3 linked regions of the Stegostoma tigrinum genome follow. The protein of the gene in region 1 purifies or fractionates together with the protein of each later gene. This does not show direct contact. Links are inferred from orthologs where the notes say so. Each region holds a gene or a part of one and is shown in the gene's direction. Other genes may lie near its edges. The genes, in order: abi1a, eps8a and brk1.

Region 1 (11,091 bases):
TTTGGCCCTGAAATGTCTCTCTACAGGTGCTGACAGACCTGTTGAATATGCACCTCAGTAACTCTCAGCCCAATTTTCTGCTTGGTGTTTGGGGTGGCACAGTGGCTCAGTGGTTAGCACTGCTGCCTCACAGTGCCAGGGACCCAGGTTCAATCCCAACCTCAGGTCTGTGTGGATTTGCACTTTCTCCCTGTGTCTGTGAGAGTTTTCTCAAATGCTCTGGTTTCCTCCCACAGTCTAAAGATGTGCAGGGTAGGTGGATTGGCCAAGCTAGAATGCCCAGGGATGTTTAGGTTAGGTGTGTTAGATGTGGGAAATGCAGGGTTAGGGGAATGGGTCTGGGTGAGATGCTCTTCAGAAGACTGGTGTGGACCTGTTGGGCTGAATGGCCTGTTTCCACATTGTAGAGATCCTATCTCTATTTTATTTCTCTTTGTCTGACACCTTAAGGCATTATGAAAATGAGACCTTTAATCATAATCCTTTGGTGCAGAAGAGAAAGTAGAAACAATTTAAATGCAGTTTTAATAGAGCACACAATGAGAAGCTGCAATAGCAAGTTTGTTCAATGCTGGTGGATTAAAAGTAGTTTCATACATCTTGGCATTAACTTTGTCTCTTTGGATAGGAATAGGATATTAATGAATTGTTAAAATAGTTCACCAAAGAAAGCACATGTAGGAATTTTAACTCGATAAGGATAAACTAGGAATCAAAAATAAATACTTTAAAATCAAATGATGTTCCAGCTGATAAACATTAAAAAACCAGCTGTGTGGATTCCAAGTTATCTGAATGGATGAATATGTCATAAAAGACAGTGTTGAACCAAGAAAGCCTCAGCTTCAATTTTGATCTGTGCTGTTAGTCTGTTTTAAGTGGTGAAGGCATTAAAATCAGCCTCAGAAGGAGAGAAGAAAATTGGGCAACTTTGACATTTTTAAAGACAGTCTAAGCTGATTACCTTGATAACACCTACTTTCATACAAGTTCTAAGAATATTGCTAGTACCCCAGCATGAAATACAGAATCATAGCATGCTCGCTGCTTGCAGAATGCCACCCTTCAGACTTGCACTATCTTCAGGAAGAAACAACTGAAGAACAAGTCAGAGGGAAAACCGAAGCATAGAAAACATTCCGTGTGTTTCACATCATTTTGCATTGGTGAGAAATGACAATTTCCGACATACCAAGCAGGTCTTGATCTCAACTGTCCTGTTTTAAGCAGATCAGTACAGTATTGAAAGACAAAGCAACCCCAAGTTACTTACAACTAAATTAAGAATTTCATATGTAGAACCTCTAGTACAAATCAAAACTTAAGTTTAATAAATTGAAAACTTAGCACAATGTTTTAGACAATTCAGAATTATTCATTCTATGACATCCTACTCACCCTGGACACAATTTAATTCTCATTTTGCCTGTGTGCACATTGTAACAACAGATATGTGCTGCAATGGTATGGATTTGACAACCTCCTCCACTTTTATGGGAAGAGAAAGGCACATGGTTAAGAGGAAATTTCTGTTCAATGATGGCACTAATTGATGCATGGGCTGTTTTGTACACATTTATGTCACCAGTCTGAGGGTTCCATACTGGAATCATTATCATGCTTTCTGGAAGCACCTTTTATCATCAAGGCCCAGTTCTGGAGATGGTGATCCAACATTGGAGGAAGCTAGATGTTGTGCACAGTGTAAGCATTGTGCCAGTTCACTTGTTAGTGGGCACACATTTACAAGAATTGTTGCCAGTGGTCATAAAGGAGCTGGTCATTGAGGGATTGAAACCCTACCCTGTTCACGAATCTGACTAGCAGGGAACTCTGAGCACCATTTGTGCAGAGTTGTTGGGTCCTTTCACCTGAGCAAACCAAGCGATAACTGCACTTTGCACAGTTCAGGCAGCTATGCTGTTCAGGTCAATGATGAATTAGAGAAACTGGGTTGCCTTCCTGTAAAGGGCATCAATAAGATTTGTGTGAAATATCACACAAGTCCCCATTTGAATTTTGAAAGGAACCATGATCTTCAGGCCCACAGACAGAGCAGTTCCTTCCAAGCTGTGCAAATGCATATCTTCCTCAGGAGGTACCAGATGTAGATCACAACTACTCCAGAAATGTAACGATGTCATTTACTTATCTGGAGGTAGCTGCAATGCTTTCCATATACCCTTTCTCTATAGACTGTTTCTGTAGTCACTGGACTCCCTCTTACCAGGCTGCGTGTTTGTCGACAGCAGGAGCCCCTGAGCTTCATGTCTATGATTCTGTGTTTTTTCTTTCCTTTTCATCTCCTTCTTCATCTTTTTAGTCTTATAAATGCTAATATTGCTGCTGGGTTTCAACATGTAAAGTGGAATTATTGATATGTGATTAAAGGACAGTAATTAGATGTTTGCTTTGCATTTACCATCTTGTCATATTCAATGACTACTTTAGACCGTTATCAGGCTGCTCCTCCTTGGGCGATACCTTGTACATGGATAGGTGCAATGTCCATCACCCATGACTGATTCTCAGCTTTCCTTTTGGTACATCAGAGACATCTGTGCTTTTTATCTTAAAGGTACCTTGCATGCCGATGCCAATTAACGCAATGTAAATCTATTTGCCATCATAGCACCCTGTGATGCAGCCCCACACTTCTGCAGGATCAGACAACATAACTGTTTCATCACAATGCCATTAACATTCATATACATGAGGCTGCAATTGGTTCTGCATTAATCCCTGAAATTCTTGGAAACCCTCTTTTGAAATTTGAGTTTTGGAAAGATGGGGCTGTACATTTATCTTTGGATTGCATCCCCCACACTCTCCCCATTTTGAGTACAATTCTCCCCCCAACCCCATTACCATGAATGGCCTTGCCATTTCCTGTTTTGTTTTTACTTTGCGATCTTTCAATTTCCCTTTCTTACTATTTCCTTTGACATTCCTGTTCTTCTCCTTGATCCCACTCCCACAGAAATTATGATGCCTCGACTCAGATAAACTCTGCCTTATTCAGTTCTGCTCTTTCTTGCTCTCTCTCTCGCTGCCTCCATTTCAGAGGATCCTTCCACTGCCCATGATTTTAAAGGCACTTAAGTTGCTTTCTCTAGCTTCCCTTTACATCCAGCTCACTTTTCTGAGAACCTTTTTTATTGATGCCCCATTTAGGTTACACACGTGTTTAAGTTAACGTTCCATTTATGTTCATTCACCTTTTAAGTTTTATTATGCCTGCCTGTTCTAATCAGATTTGTTTTAATGAACAGTGTGACTACCTCGATTAGGTCGGCTGGTGGGACTGATCAGCCATCCTCTCTAACACTGTAATAATCTGACTACAATAAACTTGATGGCCAATGTATGTTCGTTCTTATGAGCTGTTGAACAAGGAGGGTCTTTAGATTTAGATTTTATCGTCATGTACATTCATCTACAGGAATACAAGAATACAGTGAGAAACATACAAAGTTGCCATCATCATCATCCGGCACCATCTTAGTATACAAAAGACAGGACACTTTGTCATGGGTCCTTGCTGACAGAAAAACAAAGCCACAATGTGCATCCCTCAATCTGCGAACATTCAGGTGCATAGTGCTGCAGCCGCAATGCTACTGTCAGGTATCTAAGTCCAGCCATGGCCTGGAGCCATGACACCACCGCTGGAACCATGTCACCAGTCTTTGGCATCACATTGGGTCCTTTGCCATCATCACCATGAGTCTGCTGAAGCTGCTGGGTTCTGAACTCGGCTCAAACTCAACGCTGAGCCCACTGCACAAAAGCAACTGGTGCCTTGTTCTGGCTGACGTAGCTACTGCTGCCATGTCCTGGGACTACTATTTCAGCAAAGGTATTTACCACCGCTGGTCCCTGGGAAGGAACAAAACCATTAACACTGGAGGAGCTTAAATGTAATAAACTTGATGGGCTATGAATGTGCCTTGTCATCACCAGCTGAACATTGGGACTCTTTAGTCCACGGAAGTGTTTGCATGATATTTTATTTCTGAAGCAGCCACGTAATGGATTACTGGTTTATTCACAGGGCTCGGAGGAAGCAGTCTACTCTGCCAAGCACTCCTCTTGTGTACATAGTCAGGTTTGTGAACACATGCTTCCTGTTTTTGGCTAAAAAGGTTGCATCCATGAATGTAACTACCATCTCCTGGGACATTAATGAGTATTCATAGACTGCTAAAAAATATAAAAAAGGTTCCTGAAAGCCAACCCAGTTGAAAGGTTCTGAGAAGCTAATACCATAAATTTAACCTGCCATTGGGAAAGAGAAACTTTGCCTCCCGCTCCATTATGTCTTCCTGCCTGACCTTCTAAAAGCTTGGGGGTGGCCCATGGAATATGGTTCTCGGTCCTCTGACAGCTACCCAGGAAGTAGCTCAGCCAAATATATAGTTTTTGCATTTGAAACTGAACAATTAGTGTCAGCAGAATATTTGACTGTGGGCAAAAGAGGAAATGTCCAAAGGAGTGCTTCATTCACACGTACTGCAGTGGACCCAACCAAAGGTGACTATATTCGTCATTCATAATGGAGAACCAAGGTCTATGTTGTTGTCTGTTGACCAGTGTGTGTGTATAATATATATTTATGCTACCATTACTGGGAAGACTGACCATAATTGACTTGTTATCTGCATAATTCCAACTAATGTCTTTTGTACGAATCTTTTAAATTGCACCACATTAAAATTAATTTTGTGACCTACTTATTTATGATCTCCCCATCCAGTGGACATAACCATTTCCAAGGTCTATTAATAATTCTGTTCTTGAAGTTAAAGGAAATGATAATAAAATTGCAACTAATTACCTTTACCAGCTAAGGAGGGATACAGTTAATGTTTATATCTGTTAGTTTTTTTGAAAATTAATTCATGGCATGTAAAGATCACTGGCAGAGCCCATATCTATTACCCATCACTAATTGACTTTGAGAAGGTAATAGCGTGCTTCTTTAATCTATGTTGTCTACAGTGCTGTTAAGAATGGGTGTTCCACGATTTTGACTAGTCAACAGAACTCAAATCAGGATATATTCCACACTTCATCGGGTGTCTTCAGTTCTAAGCTGAAAGGTCACTGGACTTGAAAAGTTAACTCTATTTCGCTCCCTACAGATACTGCCAGACCTGTGTTGTTTCTCCAGCATATTTTGTAATTAACCTGTTCAGGCATGTTACTACACACGTCTGGAGGAAGTGGGACTTGGACATGGATGTCCTGAGCCAGAATGAAGGACATTACCACTGGTACCTCAAAAGCCAGTTTTATCCCCGCAGGCACACTTTCCAGTGTCCGGCATCTCCAGGTCATTGGCAGAGGAGAGAGACTACAACAAGCCCCATCCCAGGCCCCAAGATGACTTTCCATATTAAGCAGAGGTTCACCTGCACATCCGCCAATGTGGTATACTGTATCCATTGTACCCGGTGTGGCTTCCTCTACATTGGGGAAACCAAGCGGAGGCTTGGGGACCGCTTTGCAGAACACCTCCGCTCGGTTCGCAATAAACAACTGCACCTCTCAGTCGCAAACCATTTTAGCTCCCCCTCCCATTCTTCAGATGACATGTCCATCATGGGCCTCCTGCAGTGCCACTAGGATGCCACCCGAAGGGTGCAGGAACAGCAATTCATATTCCGCTTGGGAACCCTGCAGCCCAATGGTGTCAATGTGCACTTCACCAGCTTCAAAATCTCCCTTTCCCCCACCGCATCCCACAACCAGCCCAGTTCGTCCCCTCCCCCCACGGCATCACACAACCAGCCCAGCTCATCCCCCCCACCCACTGCATCCCAAAACCAGCCCAGCCTGTCTCTGCCTCCCGAACCTGTTCTTCCTCTCACCCATCCCTTCCTCCCACCTCAAGCCGCACCTCCATTTCCTACCTACTAACCTCAACCCACCTCCTTGATCTGTCCGTCTTCCCTGGACTGACCTATACCCTCCATACCTACCCACCTATACTCTCCTCTCCACCTATCTTCTTTTCTCTCCATCTTCGGTCCGCCTCCCCCTCTCTCCGTATTTATTCCAGAACCCTCTCCCCATCCCCCTCTCTGATGAAGGGTCTAGGCCCGAAACGTCAGCTTTTGTGCTCCTGAGATACTGCTCGGCCTGCTGTGTTCATCCAGCTTCACATTTTATTATCTTGGATTCTCCAGCATCTGCAGTTCCCATCATCTCAAACTACAAGTCCCAGATGACTTTGCGGTCGGTGGGTGAGAGGGAGGCTATGGGATCCCGGCGTGCCTCGCGCGGTTGGGAGGGTGTAACCAAGGCGGTCTTGAGCGAGGAGTCATAAAGCGATGCAGAAAGATGTAAGATGGCAGAGCTGCAGATGTTACTCGAGGAGGAAATCCCTGCCGGCAAGAGGGCGCTGATAGAGAGTTACCAGAACCTGGGCCGTGTGGCCGATTACTGCGAGAACAACTATATCCAGGTACGAGCTGGCGGGGGCAGTGGTAACGGGAAAAGCGGACGAGCGGCACCGCTGGCGGTTACAACTCCCCTGCCGTGTCCCGCTCTCTCTCTCTCTCACACACACACCGTCCCAGTGGCAAGTAACTCTGCCCGGATACGGGCTGGGCCGTGAATTCGATCCCTCGCCCCCACTCCTGCAACCACCCCCCTGAGACCAGTACAGACAGACAGACACACACACCTCTTCTTTCTTCACTTCGATTTCCCCAGGCCGTGAACGGTTGGACACTTATCCGCCCCCGTCCCGGGGCCTCGATAATGTCAGGTTTTGCTCGGGGCTGAGAGGGGTGGTGGTCTCTCTCTAGCTCTCTTCTGTTTTTAAACTCACTTTGTGAAGGAGTCAGCCTGTTCCGTCAGTAGTTCCCTGGATTTACCAGCACACTTTTTAACGCCAGTCTCTGTGTGTCCCAGAGGGTGTGCCGCGCTGTCTGACTCATATTCCCCGGGTATGTGGGCCGGGGCTCTCCCTCTCCCAATAGTTTCCACCCCTCCCACGGGTCCGCCTGTGCTCTTTAGGCACCCGCTCTACAATTTGAATTGATTTTTATAAACAGCTTTTGTTCTTGAGGCAAGCAGTTCGTCCCCGCTTTGTTTTAATTCGGTGTGAAGCCAGGGGATCTTTCCATTGATCTGTTTGCGTGCGTGTGTTATAAATTTCGGTGTTTCTTTCATGTGATTTGTCTGTCTGAAAGCTAAGTATAGGTTTTTTGTAGTCCGACATGCTGAAATGATAGCTATATCAATTGAGCAACACTCCCTTTACTCTGGGTTGGGCAACCTCGGGGAAACTGTGCGGTGAAGTAGTCTTTCCGACACCAGTTTAGTGTGGAACTAGTCTTAAAGGCGTCAAAAGCCCCCACCCCTCGCCATGAAGTAGGTTTTCCTATCCTCGCTCTTCGTTTTTGTCTTAGTAAATTCCTTGCAAATGTGGGTGTTCGCAGCTTCATGTTCAGCCGCAGTGTTTTTTTTAAACTCCGAGATCACTTGTAACAGGATGAGATCCCAAACTCCACCCGAAAGTTAGTTTGATGCGCCAGATACGGAGGAAACCTATGTAACGTTTGTTTTTTTCCATGGACGGAAATATGATAGTCGGAGGCGGATAGAAGTTGCAACACGACTTGCAGTTGTCAGCTGTAGTGGTCCGGGCAACGACAGATAGGTTTACATATGTCAATAAACACTCTAGTATGAAGTATCCTGCTTTGCAGATGAACTTGTGATTCTCAAACCTTGTGCTCAATTCCAGTTTGTCTGAATTGCACTTGTTTTTGGGTAACTTGCTTATCATAAAATAAGGAAACTGAAGCTATTTGACCCAGGCTGTGTCAATTTAAGGTTTTATTTCTATACGAGCATCACGATGGTGCTGAGTATCTGTCCTTTTTTTGTAATACTCTTGATAGTTGCTTCAAATGTCTTAGTTTTCTCTGGCTGCATAAAGTGCTTTCTTATTTCCATTTCACGAAGTTGTGACCACTTTGAAGCTACTTTGTTTTGCAGTCATGATTTTAATTTGAATCTCTTTCTGTTGTACTGGATAACACGCACCTTAAATTGCTTCTACATTTTTGCTCATACTGTCGCACTTTTAGGGTTTCAGTGCAATTTTTTTTGCTCTGTCGTCTGTCATTTTTATATAGATAACTTCGTAGCCTTTCTCTGCGTGACCTCGGGACCATGTTTTTAGCACTTTTTAAAAATTGAAGTATTTTTGAGTTGTATTTCTAAGCAAGTGTAAAGTCAAAAGTTGGTACCGAGCTTTCAGAGTTTTATTTTTAGAGCAAGTGAACTTCCAGAGTTTGGGATCTTGATAATTGAAGATTTCAGTGTGAAGAATCCAAATGATTTGAGAATTGGAGTTGGAGATGCTTATGGGAGTATTTAAACATGAGGCTTTGAGAAGTGAAGCATTGATTTTTGGAGCTAATGAGTCTGGTGAATGGCATGGATATACTTGCATTTTATGCAGAGTAGAAGCAATGTAGACAAAGCTTTTTGACTTGTCATGTCTTGAGGAAAGATTCAGCCATTAGATAAGTGAATATAGAGCACATTGGTGATGTAGTGTCAATGGAAGTAGTTCAGAATCAATGTAGAGATTGAGAATTATCAGTTCCCCTCCGAGTACTTGGCACTTGTACTTCATCATGCACTTTCAATAGTTTTAAGTTGATTGTATCCTATAGAGGCATCTTAGATCTTCCCCAGCTCACCCACCGTCGCTTGTGTCTTCAGTACACCAGGATACACAGTTCTTCTTGTCACAGTATGAATTGTAAGTATGAGACCAAACACTGATCTTTGTGGTGCTCAACTAAGTTCCATCCTGCCACCCAATAATGACTTATTTATTTTTCTTTTCTGATTCTTGACCGTGCTGATCCTGTGAATTCTTATCTTGTGGAACAAATTGTTCTCTGGGATCTTATCGAGCGCATCCTCAAAATGAATGTGCTGTATCTGCACGTTTTTGTTAATTATCCTGATGGTTTCCACGTTTTAAAAAAACCCTTTGTCGAATCATGTTGACTTTATCTAATCAGTGGCTTACAGCTTTGCCTAGTTCATGCCCCAAATAGTTAGTTCATACATTTAAAAAAAACTGATCATTGTTTCTGTTTTTGCATTTTATTAAAACAGATTTCATTGACTGTTGCTTTGTCCTTAAACCATACAGTCATATTCCCTTTTAATACCTTTTGACTGAAATCTTGCATCTTTGGTACCTGTGTAAAATGTATATCTCATTTGGCTAAATGTTCCAATCTACAGAATAATCTTGGACATTCTTTAAATTTCCCTTCCTTCCAAAGATTGCAAGATATGTTCTAATTTATTTTTTAACTCGGTCAACTTTTAGTATTCTGACTGCATGAGCGGCTTATTGTGGCTGTGTCCCCTTATTTAGAATCATTGTAGGTGATCAGTCCACAGTTGAAGGTAGTCAGTAGGTTGCTCAAGCTGCTACTTGTCTTTTTCGAAAATCTACTTTTATAAAGTTGTATTGCTCAACAGTAATTTCAAGCTCACATGTAAACTGCAAAAACAATCAGTTTCTTTCAGTGCAGAATGTGGATCAAGCTGCTGTTTGTCATCTTTGTTCTCCTGTCAGCCATAGCATCAATTATTCTTGTGAATCAGATTTTGTATCTTTTAATGCAAGATAGAATATTCCTTACTGGCGTATCAGGGGATAGTTAGTCAGATGTCTGTTTATTTCCAAGTACTGGTACTTCCCACTTCCATCTCCCAGCAAATTTCGATCCTTTTGCTTATCTTATCAGAGTAGGTGTCTGGCAGTGTGTCTGCAATATTTTTGAAAGTTAACTGTAATTTTACTTAGCGGTAGTTTAATCCTGCAAGCAAGCATATTGTACACAGAATGTACACCACTGCCAAATATCTTCACTTTTAATATCAGCCCTCCTCGTATGGTCCGCTGGATATTTTAGTCTAATGTTTTGATTGGTTCAGCAGTATTCGCAAGTCTTGGTCAACCAAATTTGATAATGCATCTTGACGCTTCCCATTGCTACCCAATTCCATGTGCACTGTTACACTTCTCTAATTCTAACCGAATAGTTTTAAATTTATCTCCTCCATTAGTCTGTATTGTGTAGTAATTCAATCTATGAACACTTTTTTTTTGCTGAATTGTTTTTAACCAGAAACGTTTTGCACCTTTTTCTGCTATTGTCACAGCCAGCGTAACTTGTATAGCAATTTGTGCAAGCTTTATTTAATTTCTCGGTTGAAGCAGGATATATGGCAGTACTGTATTGGAGAGAGGAGTTAATTTGTGCAAGCCAGTTTGAAAAATGATATCACATGGTGTTTATAGCATAGAAGTGGGCCATTTTAGCTGCTGTACAACCCCTTGCCAGTGCTTGTGCACCATGTGAGCTTCCATCCATCCTTAACTAATTCTTGTAGTCATCTTCCTTTGTAATGACTGCCTTGTTTTCCTCATTAATGTCCTTGCCAATTGCCTGCTACAAAACAAGTTCAGTATTCTACATTGTGACCACAGTCTTAAACAGAAAGGCCTTTCCTAAGTTCCTTTTTAGTTTTATTTAGTGATGATCTGTGCCAGCTCTCCTCTGCTGAAGGTAAGAACCACAGTCTATTCAAGTGTTCCTGAAAGGAACAACCTCTCATTTCTGGTATCATATCTTTTTTGATCTCTTTAGGCAACCTGCAGTGTCCCATAGAATAGAATCCGTACAGTGTGGAAACAGGCCCTTTGGCCTAACAAGTCTACACAGAACCTCAGAGCATCTCACCCACACTGATGCCGTCATCACCCTATAACCCACCTAATCTACAACTCCCTGAACATGGGCAATTTAGCATGGCCAATCCACCTCACCTGCACATCTTTGGACTGTGGGAGGAAACAGCACTTGGAGGAAACCCAAGCAGACAAGGGGACAATGCAAACTCAACACAGACAGTTGCCAGAGGCTGGAATCGAACCCAGGTTCCAGGCACTGAGGCTACAGTGCTAACTACTGTGCTGTCATGCCATTCCAACCTTGTTTCAATGCATATTTCCAGTATTTGCAAATGTCATTTAGC
Region 2 (10,948 bases), on another chromosome or scaffold:
AGAAATTCTCATTAATTTAACGCAATATCTATACAAACCTCTTATACGGCTAAACATTGGTCCACCTTGATTTGTCTTTACAAATCAGTTGTATCATTTGACCTTATTACAAAAGGTTACCACCTTAAATTATTGTGGAACAGGTTACTTTTTTGCAGTGAAAGCTAAAATTGAAGGCCTTTTACTTATAGCTTAAAACTTAGATAATTCAAGAACGGGGGCCATCATGGTGAATTTGAGTAGAGGAATCCTCACGGACCATAACTGCCACGTAGGCTAATTTTGTTTTCTGTCCAACCTTCTGAGAATGGCAGCATTACAGTTGCTAAATTCCATTCAATCAGATCATTCTAAAATTGAAAAAAGTTTCAGAAGTTAAAGCCATTGTCTCTTTCTTGCAATCAATCTGCTCTGACATATCACAACAAATCTCTGAGACCATCACACCCTGAGGTGGAATTGAGACCTGGACCCTCTGGCTCAGAGGTATTGATGCTATGAATACATCCTTTTTAATTCTATCATTTCAGGATAAAGATCCTGAGAACTTATCAGGTTTTAATTTCTCCAGTACCGTTCCTCTGTTGATACTAATTACATTACCTTCCTCATTCTAAACTGCTCCTAGGTTGTATTTGATTTGTAACTTGTGGCTTTTACTATGAAGACAGACTAAAAATATTTGTTCTATATCTCTGCCAATTTCTTATTGTCCAAGATAATTTGTCCCGCCTCTGCGTCTAAAGGTCAGTGTTTAGTGTAGCTATTTGCCTCCTTTTTATACAGTTGTAAGAGCTCTTTCAATCTATATTTTTTAATCCTGGCTAGTGAACTCATTCTTTTGTTTTCTTTTCCCATCAATCTTGCGTTTCTAAACCAATCCAATTGCCAGACTTACCAGTGTTTTTACAACATTTTAAGTCTTTTATTTTAATCTAATACTTAACTTACTTAGTACACCATGATTAGATCTTTCTCATCAAGTTTTTTTACTGCATTGTATTTTTGTTTAAACTGTTGAGTTGTTTCTTTAAGTGTTTCCCTGTTTATTTACCATCACACCCCTTAGTCCAAGGTTGTTTGGCTACTGCAAACAGGCCGAAGTCTAGCTTGCCACGGGTTTCTATAGGCTCATGGACCCATATTCAAAATACAGGTCAGTGCAAGTGACAGATTGTACAAGGAAATACACTTCCAAGGACAGGCTGCTACTCTCCAGTGTTCGTGGCTGATGAGACAAGCAAACAATATGAATGTGAGTGACTTCACTCAGCCTGAATCCAGAAACACCAATGCAGAGGCAGTGGTGAGTTTGCAGAAGGGAGGAGAAGCTATTTGTGTGTATGTTTGTTTGTGTGTGTGTGTGTGTGTGTGTGTGTGTGTGTGTGTGTGTTTGTGTGTGTGTGTGTGTGTTGGGGTTGTCAGGAATAGGCTTTCTGCCAAGTGTTGTGTTCGAGGTCTGGAATGGGGGGACACAGCATAAGAGGAGGAGGTGAGACTCTTGCCCTCCCATGCAGATGTCATCCCCAACCCCCCTGAAAATCTACAGGAATCAAGATGGTGGCATTGGCTTGGGAAACTGTGAGCAACATGAATTATAGCAGCAAAAGACCCAGGGCAGATGGAATTAGACAAGGTGTGATGGTACATTCAATTATCGTGAAAGCTTCCTCATCGATATTAATATCCAAACCTACTACTTTGTCAGCATCTATAGTACTTTGCTTTCCTATTTTACACTCCACATTAAGTTTTTGACTTTTAATTTCTACTTAAGATGAGGAAATATTAATCACTCATGCAAAGTGCAATTTTGCTATAATGGAGCTCACTAGTGGAGATCAAAATAGCGCAACATTACATCTGAGATGACAAAGTGTGGAGCTAGATGAACACAGCAGGCCAAGCAGCATCTTAGGAGCACCAAAGCTGACGTTTCAGGCCTAGACCCTTCATTAAATGTCAGCTTTTGTGCTCATAAGATGCTGCTTGGTCTGCTGTGTTCACCCAGCTCCATACTTTGTTATCTTGGATTCTCCAGCATCTGCAGTTCCCAATATCTCTGATGCAATATTACATCTGCCCTGGAAATATATACATGATATGATGTAATAGTTTATTTTCATAAAATGACTGAGAGGTCTATAGCTCAAAATACTATGAAAAGAGTTAAGGTAAATGTTACTGATGATCGTTTAAAGAAAGCAGATGATATCAGGATGTTTATCTTTTTTGGCTTTTAGTGTCTAAATTTTCTCTAATTTTGATTTCAAAAGGGCAGAATAGTGTAAGCATACAACTGAATGCATCATGCAATACCAAACACTGCTGCAATGGGAAGAAGTGAGATGAAATCACGGTTGTTATCAACAGAAACTGTCTCAACACAGGTATGCTGCAAAATGTATCACTATTTGGGTTCCTGTGACCACTTATTTGTTTATTTCCCTCATTAACACCCAGATATGTGTTGTTAAAAGAAGTTTAGGGAAGAAATCTCACAGTCTCAGGAGTGTTTATTCCACCATGTCACCATGCTGGGTTGTTCAGGCGTAGGTAAATGTAAGTTAGCAGTGTCTTTTCACAATGTGGCATTTTCTTGAATATTTATTTCTCAACATTGATCACCTTATAAATGTAACTCTGCAATGGTGAACAGGTCTAAAATATTTATTTCTGATTGTGGTACTAATTATTCTATTGAAGTGCACATGCTTTGCACAATCAGAAAATGATTTACTTCTCATTTTACTCCTCATGACTATATTTTGTACAGACACAATTAATTGATTTATGAATTAACCTTCTATTACTTATTAACTACTAATTATTAGTAACAGACTCTCAGTCTCAGTGATTCTTTTTTATTCATTCACTAGATGAGGTTGTTGTTTGCTAGGTCATGACTACCTTTGAGGTTCTGCATTTAAATTTGAATCTGAATTCCTCAAACTGTCTCAGAGAGCAAGATACCTAGTATTTCTGATGTTATTGTTCCAAGAATCCACTGAGAAAGGACGTGCCCAAACATTGACAGAAGGCATGTATCACAACCTTTCAGTGCTCCTGGTCATAGCTGTGGTGAATAATATCTATGCCCTCACTGTACCGTCCTCTACCACATACTTTCTAATTACAACATTACCCTCCTCCCCAACATGATTGGCATTCTGTACGATGGTTAGCCTCAGAGAAACCTCTAGATGCTGCACAGCTTAGAAAGGCTGTTGGATCAGTTTGGTCATAGACACTATAGTCCTTAGTTTTCTCTACATTGACTGCAAGTATATTTAACTAGTTGCAATCTTCAAAGGAATCACTACATGCTGGCTTGCATAACTGCCTCACTGACATTCATAATCCCCTGTGCCTGGTCATTGATCATTTGCAAAGTTCTACCTCACCTGGGGGATGTCATTACCACCGGAACTAAGTGCTGAGGAATCTCCCTTTTGTTGATGTCCCACAACGTCTTCATCAAAGACATCAGCTCAGCAGATCTGGGTTGAAGCTGTAGACAGTAGACTGTATTGTCATTCCAATGTATTCCCACATTTTCTGTCTATTTATACCAATAGCCCTGCCATATCTTTTAAATCTTGATTTAATTAGTTTAGTTGATAAATAAAATAAATAAAAGAAGTAACAGCAATTTGCAATCAACTATCTGGGAAAAACAAAAAGAATTTTCACCAGCTACTGGAGGTAAAACAGTGAGATTAAAAAGAGTGCCTCCGTCCCACTCTTCACCAAATTCCCACATCTATCAAATTCTCAGCCAATTGGTTCACAAAACACTGTTTTTGGATCTCTCTCGTATTTCCCCAATCCTTCAATGACTACTTGAACATCTCTGGGCCACTTCAGGGTTGCATTCTTGGTCATTTCCCCTTCAGTAACTACTGGACTTTAATGGTGTTATCACCAGAAGCATGGATTCAAAACTACAACTTCAACTTATCCAACTTTAATGTAATAAAATGGCATAAAGTGCTACACAGGAACTTTATAAGATGCATATTAGAAGACATGAGGTCAGTTGACCAAATGTTTAGTCAAAGAGGTAGGGTTTAAGGAGTATCTGAAAAGAAGAAAGTGAGACAGAGAAACAGAAAGTTGTGGGGATGGTATTCCAGAGTTCAGAGTTTAGAAAGCTGAAGGAACAGTCACCAATGGTGTGGCGGTCAATATCAGAGATGGCCTAATGGCTAGAATTGGATGATTGTAGATATTTGCTGGAGGTGTGAGGGTGGAGGAGATTATAGTTATGAGGAGGGGTGAGGCCATGAATGGATTTGAACGCAAGCATTGAAATTTCAAAATTAAGACATTACGTAATCCAGAGGCAATGTAAATTAATGAGCACAGCGTTGATAGATGAACAGAACTTAACAAGTTAAGAAATGGAAGCAGAATTTTTGGGACCTCAAGTTTATGGTGGTTGAATGTAGGAGGTCAGCCAGTTACGCATCGGAAAAGTGAACCCGAGAGATAATGATAGAATGCATGCACGAATGCAGCAGATAAGCTGAGACCAAAGAGAAGTTGGGCAATATTATGGAGGTGGAAACAAGTGATTTTAATGAGGCATGAAATGAGATTGGAATCAAATGTGATATCAAGTCTACAAGTAGGCTGAAAGATAGTAAGAACTGCAGATGCTGGAGTCAGAGAGTGTGGAGGTGGAGGAACACAGGCAGGCCAGGCAGCATTTATTTTCTGAAGGGTGGCGACCAGAAACATCAACTTTCCTGCTCCTCTGACGCTGCCTGCTGTGTTCCTCCATCTCTGCACTGTGTTATCTATTACAAGCAGGCTGGGCTTGGTCTCAGACATCTGCCAAGAACACGGGTACAATCAGGGACAAATGAGTGGGACTTGGAGTGTGGCTGTTGGTTCTTCGCCGAGCTTGGCAAATGAATTGCAAACTTTTTGTCTCCAGTGGAGAAGACATGATCAGTGGGTAGGTTATACCAATATTTTGCAACATCTCTAACTTGGAGTGCGGCATGAAACTGGCATGACTTCAATCTTCACAAAAATCATTTGGGGAAAAGTCCTGTTCGTCGAGAATTGGATATTGAATAAGCATTGTAATCATTTGGAACAGAGAGCTAGTTATGAATTACAATTGGTTGTCTTCAGCATGCTTGCAAAAAAATTATGCTGTGCTTTTGGGATGAATTTGCCAAACAGCAGTGTATACATGATAAGTCGGAGGGACTGAGGACAGATACCTGCTGCAGCATAAGTGACGGTGTAGAAGTGGGAGAAGTATTACAATCTGCGCCATGATTATATTAAGAACCCAAGTGTATTCTCACCAATCTAGACAGCAGTTGACACGTGTTCGAAGAGGGTGGTGGGGTGTCAACTGTCTCAAAGAAAGCAGGTAATTAAGGACAAGGAGGGAGAATATACTTTTGTCATAGTCACTTAGGACTAATTTTTGGAAATGTTTCAAAGTGCTAGGTTGTATAATTACAGAAATTAGGTGAGTGTATTAGCAAAGCCAGAATAATGTTGATGGTGATTTTTTAACTTTAGCATAGAGGCAGATAAGCAGCTGACGGAAAGTTAGTGAATTTCTGAGATAGTGGGAACTGCCGATGCTGGAGAATTTGAGATAACAAGGTGTAGAGCTGGATGAACACAGTGGGCCAAGCAGCATCAGAGGAGCAGGGAAGCTGGTGTTTGGGTCTGGACATTCTGAAGAAGGGTCCAGACCAGAAACATCAGCTTTCCTGCTCCTCTGATGCTGCTTGGCCCGCTGTGTTCATCCAGTTCTACACCTTGTTATATCAGTGAATTTCAGAAGCGTGTCTGGCATAGTTTCCTACAGCAGTATGTTCTGGATGCATCAAGAGGTCAAGCAATGTTTGATTTCATAATGGGTGAAGAGTTGGATTTAATATGTAACCTAATTGTGTATGAACATTAATAAAATATTGATCATGGTATTATTGAATTCAACATAGTATGGGAAATCAAAAAGCATGAATCAGCTACTGGAGCTTTAGATTTAGGTAAGGCCAATTTAAACAAAACGAGACAGAGACTGTGCACAGTAAACCTGTAATCTGTTCACAGAAAATCTACTGATGGGTAAAAGAACTGAATGCAGTGATGATATTTAAAAGAAACATTTAACACAATACAAAACCAGTTTATTCCTGAAAGGGAGGAGCTCCACTTCGCGAAAACAGCCATGGACAATTAAAGAGACAAGGGCTAGCATAAAACTAGAAGGGCTTAGAAAAATGCAGAACGGGAAAGATACAAAGCCATAAGGCGCTTATTAGATCTAGATCTGGGGCGTAGAATGCATTGCCGGAATGGGTAGTGGAGTCGACCTCAGCGGCATTTAAGCGGCTATGAGATAGGCATATGGATGATAGTATAAGGTAGCGGCGGAGGTTAGATAGACCTTAGGATTAGGATAAAAGTTTGGGACAGCATCGTGGACCAAAGGGTCTGTACAGTTCTATACTTGGCGCAGGGTCAAAACCCTAAGAGGCAGGGGTTTGGGGATCTCTTTCATCACATGGACTGCAGAGGTTCAACTTCCACCACCCACCGTCTCAAGGAGCAGGAGGAACCGGGCAGAAAACTCCAGCACCTGAGGATAGCCCTGCAAGCGAAGACGAGCGGGTCCTGACGGGAGGTGGCGCTGGCGCGCTCAGCGGCGGACGCGCGTCCCCGCGAGGCGGTGTGGGGGCACGCGGGAGCGCTGCGCGAGCGGCTTCGGTTGTTCGCGTCTGTGCCCCAGGAGTTTTGCGGGGGGGGTGGGGGCGCAATTCGGGCGCTGCTCGCTGACGGCAAGTGCCCAGGTGCCTGGAGACTGAGATACCGATCGAGGCCGTGAGCTGAGGTGAGAGGGGCTGGGGATCGATGGACACGGTTGGCGTGGGGGTTTCGGAATCGGCCCCCGAGGTGCTCGGAGGGAGAAGGGGAGGGTGTGCGGCTGAAGTTGGAGAGCTGCCCAGGGATAGGAGCGTCACCCCACCCAGGGCCCGGACCCCGGACCCCGGACCCCGGACCCCAGACCCCAGACCCCAGACCCCAGACCCCATCCCGGTAAAGAGAGGGACCCCCTCACCCGGTGTGTTAATAACGTTGTTCCACTTTCCACACAACACAACTAACTCATTTAAAAAAAAATATAAAATTATATGTACTGAATAGTGTGGCCGTTCAGCCCGTTGACCCCGTACACGCTCTTTATAGCCCTGCTCTTCTCCCCTCCCCCTTTTTGTTTTAATCCCTATCCAACTCCCTGTTGAAGGCTGTTGTTTAACCTATTCCCACCATCCTGTCATTGGCTGGAGAGGGAGGGAGTGGGAGCTTCCTCTCCTGGGGAAGGTGATTTGGGACCTCCTGTTTTGGGTGTGTCTAACAGCGGCGGGATGGGACCTCGTACGCTGTGCGTGGTAAGATTAGGAACTCATGACCAGGCACGGATTTGGTTCCAGGTAAAGTTTTAAAACCGTTTTAGTTCTGAGGATATCGAAGTCATGCAGAAGTATTTTCTTTGGGTGAGAGTTGAGGGTCAGGCATCTGCCCGTAGCAGGGGTGAGTCCTGTTGTTACCCGGGCCCCCTGGACTCTGGCCAGTGAAAAGGTGGTCTGTTGCTTTGGATCTTTTTGTTTGTACTGAGCAATGTTGGCTAAGGTTGATTAACTTTTTATATGAATGGCATATTGTTGATAAAGAAACTCTCTAGTTTGTTTTGTTCTTGCTGCTCTTTGTTGTAAAGTATAGTGAGTTTATTTGTCATATTCTGTGACTATTATTGTGTGCCAGAAGTTGGAGGTTGGTCAGCTCTGTTGGCTATCTTGCTAATACTGAGTGAGGCCAGTAGCATTGGTTTAGTTTCCACATTGGCTAAGGTTACCAGGAAGGATTGCCCTCCTTAACTTCTCCCCTTCTCGGAGGTGTGGTGTGTGAGGTTAAAAGACTAACATCCTGTGGTCTGGTACAACTATAGCAACTGTACACCAGAGGTGTAAACGTATGGTGGTATACTGATGTTGACATAAGAACACCTTTTAAACAGGAATAACTGAAATGAGGTGTTCCAAAACAGTTTTTAATTCCTGTTTTATCTGAACCTCCCCTTCGAAACATAACTTTTTCACGACTACTTTTAGAAAAAACATGCACAGATGCTTTGGAGTAGTTTTTTTAGTTTTAACTTCTATTAAATTGTTCTGGAGTTGTGAAATATTATGAAATGTGGATATTGTATGTAGTTCATAAAAAATATTTATGGACAGTTTAATTTTTTCATCTTGTCTGTTTAAACTTATGTAGTTCCTTTTTAGTGCAATTGCAAATTAAACTGTAAATCTCAGTATAGGTTGGGTCTGTTCAGCTTCATTGTGGCTGGCTGAAGGTAAATGATCTTCAAAGAGGTCATGAAAGGGCAAAGGTAATGTCATCTTCTAAATCATTTTTGTAGAAGATAATTTGAAATTGGAGGAAAACATATTGTGTGAATCAACTAATGTAGATAATTGAAATTTTAAAGCAGGAGTTTGTTTTTGTTTGTGGTGACCTGATAGTGACTGCTGTGAGAACTGGATTAGATGTAAATGTAAACTTGTGTAAAAGCAAACCAATTTTGCAGAGGAATTTTAAGGCATGATTAAGTTTATAAAAAGCTATTTCCTTTCTTGTGCTTGAGATTGGTTTTGTGATGGACCTTATTGAAAGCACCTAGATCTGATTCACAACAATGGGTTATATTTGTTAATTATGAAGAAGTGCATAATGTTTCTCAATTTTCTTTTTTGGTCAGAGTCCTTTTGTCACTTCAAGAAAAGGATGTACGAAAGTGATAACTGCAGCTTTCATGATTGACCATTTGGGCTTGAATGTACTTGATTTGAAATCTGTTATGCAGATTGATGTGTGATTTTTAATTGAGATGAAGTAGGAATCATTTTGGGTGGTTAATAACTTTTAAAGGGTTTGGAGGTGTACGTGAACATTGGTTTACCTCAAAAGGACATCCTTTTGCTTTGATTCATTTGATTTTTGCTTTGAATGCATCAGCTGAGTTAAAATTTGAGAGATTAGTCTTCATGTTACCCTTTCGAAACTCTGTTTATATTTCTAAACTATTTGGTTTAAAGCTTCAGTGAGGTGCTAATGAAGAGAAATATAAAATAGTTGATTGTTCCTTATTGTTGGAGTGATCTGATTTAGTATGTCTATTAATGAAAAGGCACACTGACTTTCAGTTTGTTCTGGTAGTTTCTGCTTCTTGGGTTAAGTCCAAGTTAATTTTGATTATAGAATCATATAACCCCCATTGTGTGGAAATAGGCGATTCGGCCCAAAAATGCACACCGACCCTCCGAAGAGCATCCCACCGTATTCCTGTAACTCTGCATGTCCCACAGCTAATGCACCTAGCCTGTACATCCCTGGTCAATATGGGGCAATTTAACATGGCCAATCCACCTAACTTGCACATCTTTAGACTGTGGGAGAAAACCAGAGCACCTGGTGGAAGTCCACGCAGATACGGGAGAACATGCTTACTCCACACACAGTCACCAGAAGTTGGAATTGAACCTGGTACTGAGGCAGCAGTGCTAACCACTGACTCACTGTGCTGCCTTTGCTTTCTGACATCGCTTCAGAAAAAAATCAGGAAGGTGATGGATGTAAGTGCTCTCAATATTTTGTTTTAAAACGTCTACGCCTGTGTGCACCTGAAGCTGACCTCCACAGATGAAACATGTCAGTCCCAACAAGGCTATAATGACAGCATCCCAGATTTTTAAAAATTGTGCTGAACTTTGAACTTTTAAAACTGTTATTCAGAGATTTTTGCACTGGCTTCTAAAGGAATCAGTTGAGACCAAATTAGACACTTGCAGGCAAGTTCATATCTCTGTAGTAGTGACAGTTCTTAATTCTAGCTCCACTTGAGGGTGGGTAGTTTGGTCCTTATGTCCTGTAGTTCTGCTGATGACTTCTAACACTTGGGTTATGTATTTTTTTGGGCCTTTAATTATATTTTCTTTTGAGTAAATTTGTTAGATTCCAAGATTTATCCCTGTTCTTTGGATTTTTGAATGAATCTACCCTTAAGGTTTGGTGCTCAGAGCTGCATGCAATCGTCTAGTTATGATCATGCCAAGGAGATGTGCAATAATTCAAGTAGTTATTATGGTTTCTCAAATGTCCCTGAGAAATTCTTGTGTCATAGTAGTTTTCCCAGATCCTTCCTGTGAATCATAAATTCTTAGTCTGTTGAGACTGTGTAAGTAACCAAAGAAATTTTCAAGAGAATAAAATGTGAGGCTGGATGAACACAGCAGGCCAAGCAGCATCTCAGGAGCACAAAAGCTGACGTTCCGGGCCTAGACTCTTCTTCAGAGAGAGGAAATTTTCAACTTGATTTTGAAAGTTACCATTGAGTCTGCTTCTAGTATCTTTTCAGGTGGTGTATTCCAGATTATAACTTTTACTGTCAATAATGACTTTATTTCTTTTTCCTTTGATAGATTTTAAAATAAATCACCTCATAAAGTGTTGGCAAAGAGCTGTAGCTTGGGTTGTGGATGAGGTTGCTGACTCTCTTGCCAAGCTGGCTTGTTTTTGTTCAGACGTTTCGTCCCCATGCTAGGCATCAGTGGAGCCGCTGATGAAGCGATGTTATTTTACTCTGCTTGGAATTTATACTGTCGGATCCGTTATGGTTTGCAGTGTCCCTTCTGGTTTTGACACACAGGCACGCATGGGAATTCCTAGAGGCACGATTCTCAATGCATGATGCCATCAACAAACATATAGAATTGGACCCCGTATATAAACTCATACAGATCAAAACCGGAAATGATGCTACAAACCACGATGGACTGGGCTGTATCAATTGCAAGCAGAGTAAAAGAACATCACTTCGGAGGCTCCGCTGATGTCACGTAGCATGGTG
Region 3 (10,799 bases), on another chromosome or scaffold:
TGTCTGATGAAGGGTCTAGGCCCGAAACGTCAGCTTTTGTGCTCCTGAGATGCTGCTTGGCCTGCTGTGCTCATCCAGCCTCACATTTTATTATCTTGGATTCTCCAGCATCTGCAGTTCCTATTATCTAGTGATAATACCACTTGGCCACCTCATTAATTCCACTTGTACACACACAGAGCAGGAATAGTAGCCTGATGTCAAACTACTTCTTGCCCAATGGTTGATTTTGCTTTTAAAAAGAAAATGGTTCAAAGGCTAAGGGGAGATAAATATCTCACGTGTTTGTGTATCCCTAAGAAAAATAACAGCTACCTTCTACCCAGCAACTACAGTAGTTACAGGAAAGCTCTGCGCATGCTACTGCTCTGGCTGAAGGAATCTGTAGAGAGAAGTAATGGGAAAAAAGTTCACTTTATTTTTATTTTAAAAAGTCTTTTAAGAAACAAGTTTAGTAAAGTATCAAATTTGATGTTGTAACAGGTAAAAACATTTCTGGTAAGCTGTGTAAATCAAGGTGACAAGCCTTAATAATTGCCTATAAAACATCATGATAAAATTAATTTTATACCGTGCAGTTAAAGTCGGTATGGGGGAATCGATGCTGATCTCAGTAAAAGCTGAGCTTTCTGAAGCACGAAAGCCCCCTGCAAGTTTTGGTGCTCTGCTGGTGATAGCTCTCCCAAATACAGAATCAACGGAGCTGAGTTTGACGGGATGAGGTTTATGTATGATTGTTGCATTATCATATTCATCTTCTGAAGTGTGGCACATCTCAGAAGTGAGTTTCCCTGTGTCCCCTAGAAGATCCAAGAGATTCCAGTCATCAGTTGCGACGTCATTTTGCAGGTAGAGGGCCACTTCTTGGTCTGATGGTGAAGACATCTGTATGATCTCCGTTCCATCTCGTTTCTGAAGGGACTTGCGACCGTATCTGACCCATTGAAAATGATCCTCAAATGGAGTCCAGGGATGCCACACTTGATAGGTGGTCATCTTCAATTGTAAAGATCCCAAAAGATCAGGTTCATGAAAAGAGGGGAATTGTCAAGTTATTTATGGTTATGGTGGAAAAAAATCCAATTGCATTTGAAGATTATTTTTGACATTTGCACTGTCATATAATGTTAAACTCAAAATGCAACAACTACCATATGTCATTAATTTAGAGCAATCACGGCACCCTATTAGAAGAAGGCTAAATTTCAAAACTACTTATCCTTGCATTCAAATACCTCTATAGCTTTTCTCATCCCCATCTCCACCCCAATTTTGGACTTGTACATTCCTGGCTTTAATCCATGCTTAGTGATTAAGTATTGCTGGAGTGGAAATTTCTGCAAGTGAAAATTCCGGACAGACTGAACTGGAACTATACCGTGCCCCATCTCTAGCCACTTACGAAAAGGTGCTGTTCAGAAGGACATAAAAAATTTGGTGAGTGGGAAGATTGTTGGCAAGTGAAGTTCAATGCAGTGAATTGCAAAATGATAGATTTTGGTAAAGCCATGGAGAAATTATATAAAGGATGAAAAAAAAGGCAATGATTTAGTGGCATTATCGCTCGACCATTAATCCAGAGGGCCTCATAACATTCCCGGGACCCAGGTTCAAATCACATCATAACAAATGGTGGAATTTTACTCTATAAAAATCTGGAAAGAAGAGTCTAATGATGACTGTGAAACTATTGACAATGGCAAGGAAAAACACATCTGATTCACTTTCGGGCAAGGAAGACAAAGAATAATACAGCACAAGAACAGGTCCTTTGACCGTCCAAGCCTGAACCGTTTTGCTGTTCCATACTAAAACTGTCTTCACTTACAGGATCCATACACCTCTATTCATGTATTTGTCCAGGTGCTTCTTGAATGTTGCTACTGTGTTTGCTTCCACCACCACTCGTAGCAGTGTCTTTCAGGCACTCACCACCCTTTGTGTGAAAAACTTGCCTCTGCTAAAAATCTTCCATCTTTATCTGGTATGGCCTACATGTGACTCCAGACCCCCAGCAATGTAGTTGATTTTTAACTGCCTTCTGGGTAATTAGGGATGGGCAATAAATGCTGGCACTAGCCCACATCCTGTGGATGAATTTAGGAATAAAAAGCAGAGGGACGTTGGTATATTAAGTGCATAAGTCATTAAAAGTGACAGGATCGGCTGAGAGTACTCATGAAACATATAATAGCCTAGGCTTCATAAACAAGAAGCACAGGGTACAAGAGCAAGGCGCCAATTTGAAGTGAAGGTACTGGTGTCATGGTAATATCACTGACCTAATAATTCAGAACCCCAGGATGCCATCTGGGGACTTAGGCTCAAATCTTGTCATGGCAGGACTTGAAAATTGAATTCAATAAAAATCTGAAATTAAAAACTAGTCTAATTGAAGTAGTCAAAATTATGAAAAGTCTGAGTAGACATGAATGGGTTGAATGGCGTACTTCTGCATTGTAACAATTCTGTGTTATTATTTTAATGTTTCAGACTTTTTTTTATTGCTGCAGTACCAATGTTTAAAAGTTAGGACAAGAGCAATTATCCACCCCCTCCACCCCCCCCCCCCCATTCTTTTTACCAGTGTTTGGCAGTATTACCTTCAGCTTTCAAGGCCTTAAGCTTTAAAATTCCCTCCCCAAATCTCTTTGCCTCTGTCTCTTCTTTTAAGGCACTGAGACAGGTATGTCTTGGACCGTGGGAGTTTTGTCACCTCTTCTAATGATTCTGTTGGTTAGATGTCAGTTTTTGTCTGAATATACTCCTGTGCGGGACCTTTGCTATTTCCAAGGAGGATGAACCAAAACTACAAAGAAATAAATTGGAACGAGTGAGGATGATATGCGAAAATGAGAAAGAAAATTGGAAAATTGTTTTACTAAGATGCTGCTTGGCCTGCCGTGTTCATCCAGCCCCACACTTTGTTATCTCGGATTCACCAGCATCTGCAGTTCCCATTATCACTGACTGTATAACCAGCTTTTGATGCCAGAAAGGCACTGTATTAAGTTGTGAAGAAGACATACGGAGTCTGCAAAGGGATATAAATAGGTGAAGGGCAAAAACTCGGCAGGTTTAGTTTAAACTCACGTACAAAAACATAACATTGTTTAAATGGAGAGCGATGGCAGAACTCTACAGTACAGAGGAATAAGGATCTCTTGGTACAAGAATCACAACATTCAGTCATAATGTCATACAGTACAGAAGAGGCCCTTCAGGCCATCAAGTCTGCACCAAACTTGACACCAATCCCACTTTCCAGTACTTGGCCCATAGCCTTGAATGTTAAGGCATTTCAAATGCTCATCCACAAATGTTTTAAAGGTTGCAAGGTTTCCTACCTCAACTTCCCTCCCACGCAATGCATTTTCAGGTTCCTACCATCCTCTAGCTGAAAAGATTTTTCATCAAATTCCCTCTCAGACTCTTCTCCTTCACCTTCTAAATAAAGCCCCCTTGTTATGTCCTTTCAACAAAGGGGAACAGCTGCTTCCGTTCCAATCTGTCCATAGCCCTTGTAATCCAATACACTCTGAAGGGTTCTGATCTGAAATGTTAACTTTCCTGCTCCTCTGATGCTGCCAGGCATGCTGTGTTCCTCCAGCTCCACACTGTGTTATCACCTCAAACAGGTCATCCCTCAATCTTCTTAAACAACCTGAGCTCATCCAGCCTCTATGTGGCTAAACTGCTTCATCCCAGGCAACATCCTGGTGAATCTCCTCTGCAGGTCCTCCAGTGCATCACATCCCATTATGGGCGGCACGATGGCTCAGTGGTTAGCACTGCAGCCTCACAGTGCCAGGGACCCAGGTTCGATTCCACCCTTGGGTGACTGTCTGTGCGGAGTTCGCACATTCTCCCTGTGTTCTGTATGGGTTTCCTCCAGGTGCTCCGGTTTCCTCCCACAGTCCAAAGATGTGCAGGCTATGTGGATCGGCCATGCTAAATTGCCCATAATGTTCAGGGATGTGTGGGTAATAGGGGAATGGGTCTGGGTGGGCTGCTTCAAGGGGTGGTGTGGACTTGTTGGGCCGAAGGGCCTGTTTCCACACTGTAGGGAATCTAGTCTAAATTCTTTCTATATAATGCAGCTACATTAAGTGATTCAAAAGGCAAATTGAACATTTTCTTTTGCTAATTGCAAGGAGGACGGAATATAAATGTATGAAAAGTTTGCTACAGTTGTACAGAGTGCTGGTGAGACCACATCTAGAGTTCTGTGTACAGTTTTGATCTCCCTACTTATGGGGAAGAAAAAACATGATTTGCATTGGAAGCAGTGCAGAGAAAGTTCTTGGAATGAAGGTGGGGTAAATTACTTTGAAGAAATAATGTACAGGCTAAGTCTGTGGCCATTGGAGTTTGGAAGAATGAGAGGTGATCTTTTTGAAACATATCCTGATGGATGCCCAACATATGTTTCCCAATTTGGGAGAGTCCATATGATGGGTTACAGTTTAAAACAGCTCTCTTAGTTAAAATACAGATGAAGAGAAAAATGCTTTCTCATAAGGTTGTGAGTCTGGGAACTCTCTTCCTAAGGCTCTCTGATTTTTTTTAACGCTGATTTTGATAAATTCTTGACTAAGTAGGGAGTAAAAAGATATACAGGAAAGTTGAGATCTCAATCACATCAGCCATAACTTCATTAAATGGTGAAGCTTGCTTCAGGGGTAGAATGGCCTATTCCTAGTTCATCTGTTTCAACCATGCTTCTGCCCCCTTTGCAATTTTCATAATTGTCTAAATTTACCCCTTGTTTAATCATTACACAAATTGGTGAATGGGCTCTCATCGTGCACTGATATTGTCCCTACCTCCCAGTCGGAAAGCTGGCACACTAGTTTTGCATGCTCCATAGGGTGTGTTATACACATTCGGACAAGTTGATTAAAATGAAATCGCGACGTTTGGCGAAGTGATTGGGAGATGACGCCGTGCTAGCATTGTGGAAACCTGTAGTCGGGTGAGGGGACGGTGGTTTGCCATTTTGAGGATGGTTCGATGGGAACTAGACTTGACCTGAAGCAACATATTTTTCGGAAACGCTCACCTTTCCGATCCAAGGGGATCAGGATGAAAAAAAAACCTGGAAGGTAGGGGCTGTTTGGTCAAGTCGCACGTTCTTAGCCTCCTGATATGATGTATTTATTCGGTGAGGCATGAAAATTGCGTTCGGTTGCCTGGTTACCTACTAGGCGAATGTGTCAATGTCCATGCAACAACAACTCGATACAGCGGGATGGCAACGTCATAATGGTTGGAACGTTTGGTGATGTCTAAAGACTCTAACTTTGATACTGCATTTTTGGAAACACAAGGTTCCAAAGAAAGAGACTGCACATTTTACCAATCAGCTGGATCTGATACCACTGTTTCTCCAAGGATGAGCTTTTCCCAACAATTTCTGACTTTTTTTAAATTTCTGAGCTCCAGCACCAGTATTTTAATATTTTGTTGCCTTCATATCTATTACTGTTTCTCTCTTTCTGAATGAGTTTGAAACCAACTGGTAATTGTCACCCCGCCCTCTCATAACTTCAGCAATCCTCCAAATCTTCGATCTTCCTTTCGAGCAATTGAACGGTTCTCACCCTCGCCACTTTTCCACACCCACTCTAAAATCTCCACCAATCAAAGTTCTCGCCAATAGACTGACCAATAGGATTTTTATTTCCACGGAAAGGCGGTACCATCTTTTACGTTCTGCCAATGGAAAATCTTGTCTCGCCTTTCCCGCACCTCCAGTTCCACTTCTGTCCAATAGTCTTCGAGGAACTCGCGTCTCTGGGTCGTATGTGACCAATAAGATTGTCTAGATGGCCGGGTTTTGTGTTGCTCTGTCCAATCAACGCAGCGATTACAGTATCAGGGCGTTCCGGTCCGGGAGGAGGAGAGGGGAGGGAGAACTCGTTTGTTCTTTGGGCTATGGCGGGGCAGGGGGATCCGGTTCAGAGGGAGATCCATCAGGACTGGGCCAACAGGGAATACATTGAAGTGATCACCAGCAGCATCAAGAAGATCGCGGATTTCCTGAATTCATTCGGTAAGAAGCCTCCGGTGACAGCGCACCCACCAAAGCATTGCTTCCTGTTTAAGTCTGACTTACTGGGTGCCAGGAACGTAGGGCCTGGTTCAGCTGATGTCCTACGTTTGTCGCTGGCTTTAACTGTCGACGGTAGGGAGGAAGTTAAATTTGCATTTACTCTCCAGAGATCGTTTTAAAGGGTTATTTCGCGATGGGGCGGTGACGAACGGAAGAGACGTTCCAAATTGAGCTGTGCTTCCTTTTTGCCTATCAGTCGCCTCGCCCTGTCGTTCGTGTGTGAATCAGAGGGCTAGTAGCTATTTGACCAGAGTGGAGCAAGCTCGTCTCGGCTGGCCTTCAGACAGGGGTTACTGAAGCTAATTCGAATGCCCCACTTACCAGTGAGACGAACTCACTTAATGCAGTCTGGACGTTTAACTGGTTTTAAACTGTTCTGCGTAATGGACGTAATTGTAATGTCATGTCTTAGTTATGTTTAATAAAAGCAAAACAGTGGTGTTGGAGGTCTGAAAGAAGAACAAAAGTGCTGGAAAAAATTCAGCAGGTCTGGCAGCACCTGTGGAGAGAAGCAGCGTTTGCGTTTCGAAATCTACATGACCTCACTACTGAAGAAGTCTTACCAGACTTAAAATCCTAATTCTTTCTCTCTTCCCAGATGCCACCAGATTGCTTCAAAAATTATCAGCATACAGCGTAGAAGAGGCATTGAGTAAAAGGATAGACAAGTTGTGCTGCAGCTTTATAGATCTTTAGTTAGGCCACGCTTGGAATATCGCATACAGTTCTGGTCACCAGAAGGAAGTGGATGCTTTGGAGAGGATACAGAAAACGCATACAAGGATGTTGCCTGGTATGGGGGCTTCTAGCTATGAAGAAAGTTTGGATAGACTGAATTTGTTTCCCCTGGCAAGCAGGAGATTGAGGGGCAAGCTGATAGAAGTTTATAAGATAGAGTGGAAAGTATGAGGATTTTTCCCAGGGTGAAGAAGTCAATTACTAGGGGACACGCATTGAAGGTGTGATGGGGAGGGAAGCTTAAGAGATGTGAAAAACTTGCTGTGCACACAAGAGGTGGTGAGTACCTGGAACACACTGCCAGAGGAGGTGGTGGAAGTAAACACAGTAGCAACATTCGATAAGCACGGAGATGAATATATGAATAGGAAGGGAATAGAGGAATATGGATCCTGTAAGTGAAGACAGTTTTGGTATGGAAGGGCAAAAAGTGTTAGTATGGTCTTGAAGGGCCTGCTCCTGTGCTGTATTCTTTGTAAGAGACCCTTCGACCTCTATCAAGTCAAGATGGGCTTTTATTAAGGTAAATAGCCAAAGTCATTTTCCCAGGGTAGGGGAATCCAAAATAGAGAACGTAGCTTTTAAGGTGAGAAGAGAAAGACATAAAAGGGATCTAAGAAGGAACTTTTTCATGCAGAGGGTTGTGCATGTATGGAATAAGCTACGTGAGGTGGTGGAGGCTGATACAGTTACAGCATTGAAAAGCAGCTGAATGGATACATGATTAGGAAGGGTTTGGAGAGATATGGGCCAAATGCTGACAAATTGGACTAGATTAATTTAAGGTATCTGCTTGGTGTGATGAACTTGGACCGAAGGGACTGTTGCTATGTTGCATATCTCTATGACTCTGCGTCTTACTACCAAAAATGAACTACTATTTACACCAGTCCCACTATCCTGCACTGGGCCCGTATCCTTGAAAGTTGTGACACTTTGCTCATATGAGCAAAGATGATATGCTCATCCAAATACTTTGTAGAGGTTGTGAAGCTACCCTCCCAGACAACACATTGCAGAGCCTCATCGCACTCAGTCAAAAGGTTTTCCTCAAATGTCCTTTACACCTGCCTTTCAGTTTTGAATTATGTTCCCTTGTTGTTGTTGTCCCTTCCATTAAGGGGAACAGATGTTTTCTATTCACTGTCTGTGTGCCTCAAAGCCCACAGAAAAGTACAGCACAGGAACATTCCTTAAGCCCGCCATGTCTGTGCTGACAGTGATGCCATTCCGAACTAGTCCCATCTGTGCGCACGTGGATAGGAAAGGTTTAGACCAAATGCCAGTTCAAGTTAGAAAATCTGGTTGGCGTGGATGAGTTGGGCTGAAATGTCTGTTTCTGTACTCTGACTCAAGTTTTTCTACCCCTCTCTGCAATCTTATACACCCCTATCATATTCCGTCCTCACCATTCTGTTCTCCAAAAACAAAACATCCTGAGCATATCCAGCCTCAGTCCGGGTTGGAACATTTCAGCTGAGAACAGTGTCCAGGTGAATCTCCTTTGCACCCTTTCCAATGCAATCAGTCCTTCCCGCAGTCAGGTGACCAGATCTGCACACACTACCCCGACCTGGCCTAACCAAAGCCCTGTACAGTTTTAACATAACCTCTCTGCTGCTATAATCTGTCATGACTGATGAAGGCAGGCGTCCTGTACGCTGCCATAGCTACCCCATTAACCTGTCCTGTCACCTTCAGGGATTGATAGACCAACACCACAAGATCCATCAGTTCCCCTGAGCTTCCTGGTGTCATACCATTCATTGCATACCCCCTTAAGCTTATTCAGTATGTTCTGTTCTTGGTTAACATATGAGATATGATATAGGCCTTGCAGATTTCGCATATAAAGCTGCAGCATAAGTTGCCTATCCATTTACTCATTGCCTCTTCCAGTGAAGGCAAGCATTTTTACTTCGTATGGAAGGGTAAAATGTGCCAGCACAGTTTTGGAGGGGTGAAGAGCCTGTTCCTGTGCTGTATTGTTCTTTGTTCATTATCAGTTGATCATTGATATTTTTCACTCAACCTGTTCAGACATGTTACGATGCTTTGGAGCAGGTGGGAACTTGTAGGGACATGCAGGCCATGTCGATTAGCCATGGTAAATGCAGGGTTACAGGGATGAGGGGGCTAGGTAAGATGCTGTTCAGATGGCTGGTACAAATGGCCTCTATTGGCACTGCAGGGATTGTATGATTCTTTGACTTGAACCTGGAGCTGCTGACCCAGATGCAGGGACTCTACTGCTGTGTAACAAGGGGCTGTAAAATAATTTGACCCTTTACAATGACCATCGGGATACATGGTAACCAGAAATCCGATAAGTAAATAATTCAGAGGAAGTATCTTTACCCAAGTTGCAGAACTCACTTCACAGGGATGGTCAAGGGAAATCAGTTTACCTTTGCAGAAAAACCTGACAAACCTGTGATGGAGAAGATTATAATGGCAGATTGAGTTGAGGAAAGATAGGAGGGGGCTCATAAACCTCTTGTGGGAAGTCTAGGACAAGCGGGTATAATCTCAGTATGCCCATTAATACAGAGAGGAGGAGGAATTTCTTCTTTCAGACAATTGTGAGCTTGAGTTTATTGCACAGAACTGTTGAGTCTGCATCATTTTAAGAGTATTTCCAGGCTGAGAGAGATTTTTGTTTTATTTGGTAAGGGGTATGGGGAATAGGCAGGAAACTGGAGTTGAGGATTATTAGGTTAGTTGTGATCTCACTGGGTTCCTGGACAGACTCAATGAGCTGAATGGTCTGTTTCTTCACTTGCATCTTACAGTCAAAAATGGCATGGACTGATTGAGCTGAATGATGCGATCCTGTGCCTCAGATCCTGTCGTGAAGAGAAAAATGCTGCAATACTATCTAATTACTTATAATCTGTTACCTGAAGTTTGCTATTTTTTTCTTTGTGAATTACCTGCTGCCTTGTGTTAGTTAAGTCTAAAGCAACAGTTCATTCATAGCCATCAAATTGGGAATCTGTAAAGAAGAGCATCTATAATTCTGTAACATCAGTGAATTCCATCTCCATGTTAAAGGAAGCTTTTTTAAGGTCTCCTTTACCCTGTTAGCAGGACAGGAACGCTCTTGCCTAACTTCCAACACTACTTCAATACTTCAGTAGAGACTGTGAATAATTTTCCAGCAAATGGGGCGGCACGGTGGCTCAGTGGTTAGCACTGCAGCCTCACAACGCCAGGAACCCAGGTTCAATTCCAGCCCCAGGTGACTGTCTGTGTGGAGTTTGCACATTCTCCCCATGTCTGCGTGGGTTTCCTCTGGGTGCTCCGTTTCCTCCCACAGTCCAAAGATGTGCAGGCTAGGTGGATTGGCCATGCTAAATTGCCCGTAGTGTTCGGGGTGTGTGGGTTATAGGGGGATGGGTCTGGGTGGGATGCTTCAAGGGCCGATGTGGACTTGGGCCAAAGGGCCTGTTTCCACACTGTAGGGAATCTAATCAAATTCTTCACCTTCTTGAGTTGAGGTAAAAATGTGATCATCTGATGCCATATGCTTGTTGTGTTAATAGGGTACAAATGTTTTACCTGATGGAGGTCTGGTAGTTAGATAAGCATGTGTATTTCATAGAATTCCTACAGTGTGGAACAAGACCATTCAGTCCATCAAGTCCACAATGACCTTCTGACGAGCATCCCAACCTGAGCCACCCCTCTCCCTATCCCTATAACCCGTCATTTAGCATGGCCAATCCACCTAGTGTGCACATCTTTGGACTATGAGAGGAAACTAGTGTACAGCAGAAACCCATGAAGGCACAGGGAGAAAATGCAAACTCTAGCTGGAATTGAACCCAGACCCCTGGTGCTGTGTTGCCCTGCCTAAATGGGAAAGCATTTGTTTGAATAAGGTTGACTTTCGAGTTGTAATGAAAGTTCCGAAATGATTGATCCTATCGCTTTAAGAAGAGTA

Evidence for each region.
Region 2: the proteins of abi1a (region 1) and eps8a purify together in Homo sapiens (affinity purification with western blotting; 4 studies listed by BioGRID, with this or other methods). This does not show direct contact. The link is inferred for Stegostoma tigrinum from reciprocal best matches to the Homo sapiens genes ABI1 and EPS8.
Region 3: the proteins of abi1a (region 1) and brk1 purify together in Homo sapiens (co-immunoprecipitation; 3 studies listed by BioGRID and IntAct, with this or other methods). This does not show direct contact. The link is inferred for Stegostoma tigrinum from reciprocal best matches to the Homo sapiens genes ABI1 and BRK1.

The regions. Positions count from the first base shown.
Region 1 is NC_081355.1:123,346,400-123,357,490, reverse strand, and holds the start of abi1a (abl interactor 1a), read left to right. Parts: upstream 1-6,273; 5' UTR 6,274-6,352; coding exon 6,353-6,469; intron 6,470-11,091. UniProt on the Homo sapiens protein: May act in negative regulation of cell growth and transformation by interacting with nonreceptor tyrosine kinases ABL1 and/or ABL2. May play a role in regulation of EGF-induced Erk pathway activation. Involved in cytoskeletal reorganization and EGFR signaling.
Region 2 is NC_081378.1:42,684,732-42,695,679, reverse strand, and holds the start of eps8a (epidermal growth factor receptor kinase substrate 8a), read left to right. Parts: upstream 1-6,706; 5' UTR 6,707-6,871; intron 6,872-10,948. UniProt on the Homo sapiens protein: Signaling adapter that controls various cellular protrusions by regulating actin cytoskeleton dynamics and architecture. Depending on its association with other signal transducers, can regulate different processes.
Region 3 is NC_081364.1:11,923,659-11,934,457, reverse strand, and holds the start of brk1 (probable protein BRICK1), read left to right. Parts: upstream 1-5,881; 5' UTR 5,882-5,937; coding exon 5,938-6,055; intron 6,056-10,799. Other genes in the region: FANCD2 opposite strand protein-like, read right to left, coding at 463-996. UniProt on the Homo sapiens protein: Involved in regulation of actin and microtubule organization. Part of a WAVE complex that activates the Arp2/3 complex. As component of the WAVE1 complex, required for BDNF-NTRK2 endocytic trafficking and signaling from early endosomes.